Ovis aries: one gene and its partner. The protein of the gene in region 1 interacts with the protein of each later gene in a pairwise test. Links are inferred from orthologs where the notes say so. Each region holds a gene or a part of one and is shown on either strand. Other genes may lie near its edges.

Region 1 (3,745 bases):
TTCCTCCCTCCCAGACTGTGGTGGCAGCACATTTTCCCAAAGACAGAGAGTGGCAGGAAGATCACTGTTTGAGATCCAGGTCCTCTGTTTTATTAATAACTCCCCATTCTTCTCTTAGACTCCTGAAGCATGCCGACAGGCCCGGAGCTATCTTGAGTTTTCTGAGGACTCCGTGCAAGTGCCCAGGAATCTGGTTGGTGAGTTAGGGTTGTGTATGTATATAAGAGAACATGTTGGGGGCCAGATGTGAGATGCTCTAAAGTGATTCTGGCTTCGCACCTCCCAGTGCACTTCGTTTCACGAGGACAGACCAAACAGTCTGTAATTGGAGTGACAAAAATGGGAGAATTAATTCCTAGCGATTGTGGTGTGAAAACACACTAGAAGCCTAGAAGCAGGAGATTCATTAAACAGAATTCTTGCATAGAAGCTGGAAAACTGTTTTTGCTCTTTTTTCTTTCCTTTAAAAAAAAAAAAGCCTGACTCCTCCTTTACCTATTCAGGCAAAGTGATTGGAAAGAACGGGAAAGTGATCCAGGAGATTGTGGATAAATCCGGTGTGGTGAGGGTTCGAGTTGAAGGTGATAATGACAAGAAGAACCCCAGGGAAGAGGTATGGGGCAACTACACCTAGAGATTGGTTTCCAGAGTAGATATGAATTGTTCTCCAAGCCATTCTTTTGAGGGCTGGGATTTCTAGGGGATAGGGCGTGGGAACTTTGGTTTTTCCTAGTAGATGGCAAGCCTAGAAAGATCCCTTTTGGGTAGGCTTCTTAGACAAGGTGGACTTAATACTTGATTTGAGTCTGTTTCTAATCTATGTGTCCTTTGCTCTCCAGGGCATGGTTCCTTTCATATTTGTTGGCACCCGAGAAAACATCAGCAATGCTCAAGCTCTGCTGGAATATCACCTCTCCTACCTGCAGGTACCCGAGCCAGGAGCCTGGGAGAGGAAAGACCCATGTGTACAGGGGACTGAGGAGCATGCTGGATGGAGTTAAAAGTGGTGGTTTCCAGTTTGTATCTCTGAGTAGAATAGAAACTGTTAGGTGGAAAATTGGGGCTGTGGAGTTGGAACCCATCATTTTCCTTTTTAAGCCTTGTGTTCCTGAGAGTTCAGGTCCCTAGGGACAGTTGGGGCAGAGAAGCGTGAAGAGAGACTATTGATCTTTCACCTACTTCTCCTTCCTTGTTTTTCTACCCAACCAGGAGGTGGAGCAGCTCCGCTTGGAGAGGCTGCAGATTGATGAGCAGCTTCGGCAGATTGGGCTGGGCTTTCGGCCTCCTGGAAGTGGGCGGGGCAGCGGCAGCAGTGACAAGGCTGGATATACCACTGATGAGAGCTCCTCTTCTTCCCTTCATACCACACGAACCTATGGGGGCAGCTATGGGGGCCGGGGCCGGGGCCGGAGGACAGGCGGTCCTGCCTATGGTGAGATATCTATGGGAGTGGGGGGTAAGCAGTGATGGGGTGTGGGAGGCAGAGGTCTGGGTGGAAGCTTGAGGAAAGGGTGATTGAGAAGATGAAGTGATTGGCTGAGGGACTAAGGAGTGAGAGGGAGAATTTTCCAGCTTGGGGGTGGGGATGGATCCTGGGATAGAGTGAGGGACCCTGTTTGAACGCCACTGTGTTCTTCAGGCCCCAACTCAGACCTATCCACAGCTTCTGAGACGGAGTCAGAGAAGAGGGAGGAGCCCACCCGAGCTGGGCCTGGCGACCGGGATGCCCCGACCCGGGGGGAAGAAAGCCGGAGGCGTCCGATAGGAGGCCGGGGTAGGGGACCCCCACCTGCCCCCCGGCCCACCTCAAGATACAACTCTTCATCGATTAGCTCAGGTACCAGAAGCAGACAGCTGGGCTCATGAATGTGGGCCAAAAAGAAAGATGGTGGACACTTGACTCCCAACTCCTTCTTCCTCCAACCAGTGCTGAAGGACCCAGACAGTAATCCCTACAGCCTACTGGACACATCCGAACCAGAGCCCCCCGTTGATTCAGAGCCGGGGGAACCCCCGCCAGCAAGCGCCAGACGCCGCCGCTCGCGCCGCCGCCGCACCGACGAGGACAGGACTGTCATGGATGGAGGCCTGGAATCCGACGGGCCCGGCATGACGGAGAATGGCCTGGGTAAGGGGTGTGTGAGGGTGTGAAAGATTGCAGCTGGGCAAGAATTGAGGGGGTGGGTGATTGATGCGCAGTTCTCATTTTCCCATGCCCCACAGAAGATGAGTCAAGACCCCAGCGTCGTAATCGGAGCCGCCGCCGCCGTAACCGTGGTAACCGGACTGATGGTTCTATCAGTGGAGACCGTCAGCCAGGTGAGCTAACACTGGATTCCAGCAGACTGCCTCAGAGAACAGGATGCCTCCTATCCTGTGGAAACTAGGGGTTGGGGTCCAGTGGGTGTCTAGGGGCTGGATACCTGGGTTCCTTCTGAAACTTGATCCTCTGTCTTCCCCAGTGACTGTGGCTGACTATATCTCCCGAGCAAAGTCTCAGAGCCGCCAGCGGCCACCCCTGGATCGCACTAAACCTTCAGAGGATTCTCTTTCAGGGCAGAAGGTAGGCAAGGAAGACATAGTTTACCCCACTACCTTTTGTGTTGCTCTGGAGTAGGGGGCACATGAAAACTCGCTAAGAAATCGCTTGTGAAATTGCAGGGAAGGCATGCAGCTGGAGTTTAGGCTACATGTAGAATAGTGAAAAGTTTGTATAGAAGAGAAAGGGCCATTTGGTTCATATTTTCTGGATCCCAGTAAAAGTGACTACTGGCGACCAACCACTGGGTCCCAGCAGATGCCTGGAGCTCTTAGGTGGTAGGGAATGGCATTACCTGAATTTCTACTGACCTCCTTTCCTTCCTCTCCATTTTCTTTCCCACTCTCCCTTCAGGGTGACTCTGTCAGCAAGCTTCCTAAGGGCCCCTCAGAGAATGGGGAGCTCTCCGCCCCCTTGGAGTTGGGTAGTTTGGTGAATGGGGTTTCATAAACCCTCCAGCCCGCATCCCTCCCTTCTCCATCTCGCTTGCTGCCCAACACCAATGGCCCTCACAGGCCCGACCGACCTGCGCTGGAGCTGCTCTTATCTAGGGGGGAGGGGGGTGGCACAGCAGCTTGGGTCCCCCCCAGCCTCCAGGAGCTAGTGGAGGGGTGTGTAACAGGGTCCTACCCCCTCCCTCTTGTCCACCCTACCCCCAGGGTGAGGGGAGTCTCTCTCCTTCCCCATCAGACTGGATGTGCCTTTATCCTCTAATGCCCCAATCTCTCTCTGAACACCCCCATTCTCCGCCTGTTGGTGCGGGGTGCTCCTTGACCCACCCAGATTTGACAGTTCAGGGGGGCTCCCCTGCTATCCCTCCTCCCATCCTGTACCCCCCATTTCTGGGGCCTCATCACTGTGGAAGACGGGGATAGTAAGGGTATAAGTGGGTGGGAGGCATGGGGAAGGTTTTGGAGTAGAACCAGGGGTGTGTATGAAGGGGGGTGACAAGGTCCCCCAGGGGAGGGGGGGACCAACCTTGTCTGGTGGATGAGAAGGCGTATTTATTTTTCACTGTACAGTATTTAAAAAGAGAATAAAAAAATCCAAATGGCTCTCTGGTTCCTGTACCTTCCTTGTGCCCAGTTTGGTCCATCTGTTTCTATAGGAGTGACCTGCCCTGGCCCTTGTTTCCTGTATCACCACAACTGGCTTCTCTAGCATTCCAGAGATGGTCTACGTCTAGGAATTTCTGACATTCCTGAA
Region 2 (3,745 bases), about 8.2 Mb from region 1:
ATGCATGTGTTTTAGAAATCTGACCTCTTCCATGCTACTTAAAAAAAAAAAAAAATTAAGTTCTGGCTGTGCTGGGTCTTTGTTGCTTTGCCTGGGTTTTCTGCAGTTGCATCAAGGGGAACTACTCTCTAGTTGTGGGGCCCGGGGTTCTCATTGCGGTAGATTCTCTTATTGTGGAACAGTGGCCTCTAGCTGTGTGGATGGACTTCAGTAGTTGCAGTGGGCGGGCTCAACAGTTGCGGCTCACCCAGTCTTAGTTGCTCCTGGCATGGGGAAATCTTCCTGAACCAGGAATCAAACCATTGTCCCCTGCACTGGCAGGCGGATTCACTTCTCAACCTTCCCCTCAATCCTGCTTTTAAAAACAGCATTTACATAATATATTGCATACGAATTTGCTCATTTGTTTATTGTTTATCCCCATTCTCAATCCCATCGCCAGCTTCAAGAAAACTTACTGCCATACCCCAGACCCTGAAACAGCGCCTGGTACACAGACGCTACTTGGATAAGTAAATGTGCTTGGCTGGAAAGAACGAGTAAATGTAAAAACAGGGCTGCGGTCTACTTCTAGGTCAGAAGCTCTTCAGACTTCGCGTGAGCGCCACCTCTCGGGAGCCAATTTGGTCGAGAAAAAAGAAAGTGAATCAAAGAATCTTAACGAAAAAAATAAAACTTTTAAAATGGCGGAAGGTGGCTTGCCGGAAGTGCAGGGAAAAACAAGACTAGCAGCTGCTCCCTAGAACGACGCCGGACTGTCAGGAGGAAGCGTAGGCGAGCGGTGTGCAGCAAAACGGGCCCTCCTGCAGCCGATCTAGGCAGAAGCGTTCCGCGCGGGTGGGTGCCAGGAACCTGGAGGACCTGGGCGCGTTTCCGGTGCTGGCGGCCGCAGACGGTGTTGAAGGCCAGGTAGCAGGAGGGCTGGTAAGAAGAGTTCGGGCTCCTGAGAGAAAAGGGAAACGAGTGGAGTCTGGGAAGGAGGAGGTGAAGAGGTGGGACTTGTTCTGCTTAGAGAGCTGGCCGGGGGATCGGATCGGAGGGAAGCGCCCGACTACTGGTCCAAACCTGTCAGCTCACGTCCAACGCCACGTGGACTTATCTTTGCCAGTGGCTGCCTTTCCGCGACTGTAGCGGTTGTGTCCTGTTTCTGGGCAGCAATAAATGACTCACTCTGGTACTCTTGTCTGGAAAATCCCATGGACAGGGGAGCCTGGCGGATTAAAATCCACAGGGTCGCAAAGAGTGGGACACGACTGAGCACGCACCTACACGTACACACAGAATGAATGACAGCTGGGTGTGTCGGTGTATGTCCTTAGGGACTGTTTGTGGCGCTTTAGTCCCATTTTCTCCTGGGGAAGCGGTGCTTACCTTAAGCTTCCACTAGGAGTTCTCCACCAGTTTTGGGGCTTTGTCTTTTTTTCTTGGAGGTGCAGGGTGATTATCATTTAAGAGATTTTCTCTGCTCTTATCGAGTGCTAGGCCCTGTGGCTAGGTAGTAGGACAGACACAGAAGTAAACCATCCCTGTATAGATGCAGCAGGCCAGTGGAAAGACAGATAAACAGAAAATTCAAATATATTGTTACAGTGCTGTAATAAGAGGTAACTAAAGTACAGGAAGAGAGAGCCAGAAATTGCCAGAGGGATTGTCTTTCAAGATAAAAGGACTCCTTTCTCATCTTGTGGAGAAGGATCAGTTTCTAAGCCCAGTCTTCTCTGTAAAAGGAAAAGTCTAGAATCGGTTCTCTCTAGGCTTCCTTCCAGCGTGATGTCCCATGTCAGATATTACTCATGGTTTTAGTGTTCCCACAATCCACCATTTATTGGTCAGAATATGCTTTATGTCTCATGACATAGCATAAGTTGCATAGGGTTGGGTGATCTGGATTTTGGTCCTCATTCTGGTGCTCTGTAAAAGGAGATTGTAATGAAAGAATCTCTAATACCCCTTCTAGGTCTAAAACCATGACTGTGGCAGTAGGTCAAACCCCATTTCAGACTGCTCTTTACATTATCACTGTGGTTTCCCTCATCTGGATAGTTAAGAAAGATAGTGTCTTTTTAAAAATCTCCTGCCTTAGTTCTGCCACAGTATTGGGTACACAATACTGTGTTAGTTTGAAAACTGGCTCCTGTACACAGAAGGAAAGGAAGGCAAAAGAAAGGCCAGCCACTCAGATTGGTATGTGGCAGGTGTAATGAGCAACAGAGTCTGAGGCCTATCTTGGGTGGCTGCAAGATGAGTAGATCTCTGCTCTTGTCCACCAGAATTTTAAAATTATATATAGAGGCCTTAACTAGGTACAGTCACGTGGTTCAGTTCAGATGGCCTCAACAACCCCTGACTCTCTCAAGGCTGCTGTCCTTGGATCAGCCCCTAGTGTGAGGACAGTAGGCAGAGTGTAAATCCCAAGGACAGGGGTGGGGGTGAGGAGCTTGCAATTGCTGGGATCAGCTGGAGTGTCAACTGATGGTCAAAACCTCCTCCAATACTCCATCCCTTGTGACCAGCCCTTACAGTCTCACCCCCTCTCCTTCTGCAGGGTCAGAAGTGTGCCCTGAGAAGTCAGCAAGTGGTTCTGCCACGTGGAGGTGGCTTGTTTGGCAGCTATCTGACTGCAGTGGAGGCAGATGCCACAGCAACAATATAAAGGCACGTGCAAGAGAAAAGACAGATTTAGATGATTCTCAAAATAAATAACACTTTTCTCCATCAAGAGCCCCATAATTTGAACCATTGATTTACTAAGTCCCCTTAAGAGGCAGTAATAATGTCCAAGGCTATTCTGTTTTAGAGGACAGCTTTTCTCATTAAAGATTATTTTAGTATTCGGTTAAGATGGGCTTTGCACAAGTCATTTAAGACTTGCTGGATGAACTGAGTAAGGGTCTGTCTGTATGTTTTAATGTCCTCCAGGCCAATGGAGGGAACCAAGATGGTGGCTCTGTCCATGGGATTCTCCAGGCAAGAATACTGAAGTGGGTTGCCATTTCCTCCTCCAGGGATAGGGCCTAAAGCGCCCACATTTCTAGAGACAGTGGACTGGTGGTAGGGTGCTCATCTGCTACAAATGGACAGGTCATTTAGTCATTGTGAGGGTTTGAGCCATGGCGAAGGTGGGTTCAGTTTGGTTCAGTCGCTCAGTTGCGTCCGACTCTTTGCGACCCCATGAATCACAGCATGCCAGGCCTCCCTGTCCATCAGAGGCCTCCCTGTCCAACTCCCGGAGTTCACTCAGAGGAGGGTAGATGGAACTTATTCTTAACAACCCCTTCAAAGGAAGGGAAGTTCTTTCCATGATGTGCTGTTCCTTTGTGAGAAGCTCTGCCCAGAGGAGCATTGTGTACAGTGTTAGAAGCTGTTGCTTTGTGGGGTGTATTGGGTTTCTGCTCTCTTCCAGAGCTGGAACCAAAATCCTAGGGGTACTCTCCTTCTCTGCCACAGTGCCCAACTCAGACCTTCCGGAATTATAGGTACATCTAACTCAAATGGTAGCCCAGCTTGGGAAGTGCCCAGAGCTTTAATTTGCCTCACTGGTATTCTTTTCCATCTCAAAGGCAAAATAATCTGCTGCTCTAATAAGACTGCTGCTGTAATCCCCAGTCCCACGTATGCCTTGTCTTTACCAGGTGATATAAGGGATGGAGGCACTGTGCCAGGTGGGGAATAAAAGTCCTCCAAAACCCCCCAGTTCCTACAAAGCCTTGTACCTGTTTCACGTTCTTAGGGGTTGGATAAGCTT

The links. The genes of interacting proteins can lie anywhere in the genome.
Region 2: the proteins of FXR2 (region 1) and nucleoside diphosphate kinase A 1 interact in binary tests that used the Homo sapiens proteins (3 or more experiments, as listed by UniProt). The link is inferred for Ovis aries from reciprocal best matches to the Homo sapiens genes FXR2 and NME1.

The regions. Positions count from the first base shown.
Region 1 is NC_056064.1:27,141,750-27,145,494, reverse strand, and holds the end of FXR2 (RNA-binding protein FXR2), read left to right. Parts: intron 1-118; coding exon 119-197; intron 198-503; coding exon 504-613; intron 614-839; coding exon 840-926; intron 927-1,209; coding exon 1,210-1,432; intron 1,433-1,639; coding exon 1,640-1,837; intron 1,838-1,927; coding exon 1,928-2,128; intron 2,129-2,223; coding exon 2,224-2,319; intron 2,320-2,462; coding exon 2,463-2,563; intron 2,564-2,893; coding exon 2,894-2,989; 3' UTR 2,990-3,594; downstream 3,595-3,745. UniProt on the Homo sapiens protein: mRNA-binding protein that acts as a regulator of mRNAs translation and/or stability, and which is required for adult hippocampal neurogenesis. Specifically binds to AU-rich elements (AREs) in the 3'-UTR of target mRNAs.
Region 2 is NC_056064.1:35,341,185-35,344,929, reverse strand, and holds the start of nucleoside diphosphate kinase A 1, read left to right. Parts: upstream 1-867; 5' UTR 868-909; exon of another isoform or gene 910-992; intron 993-2,545; exon of another isoform or gene 2,546-2,655; intron 2,656-3,745. UniProt on the Homo sapiens protein: Major role in the synthesis of nucleoside triphosphates other than ATP. The ATP gamma phosphate is transferred to the NDP beta phosphate via a ping-pong mechanism, using a phosphorylated active-site intermediate.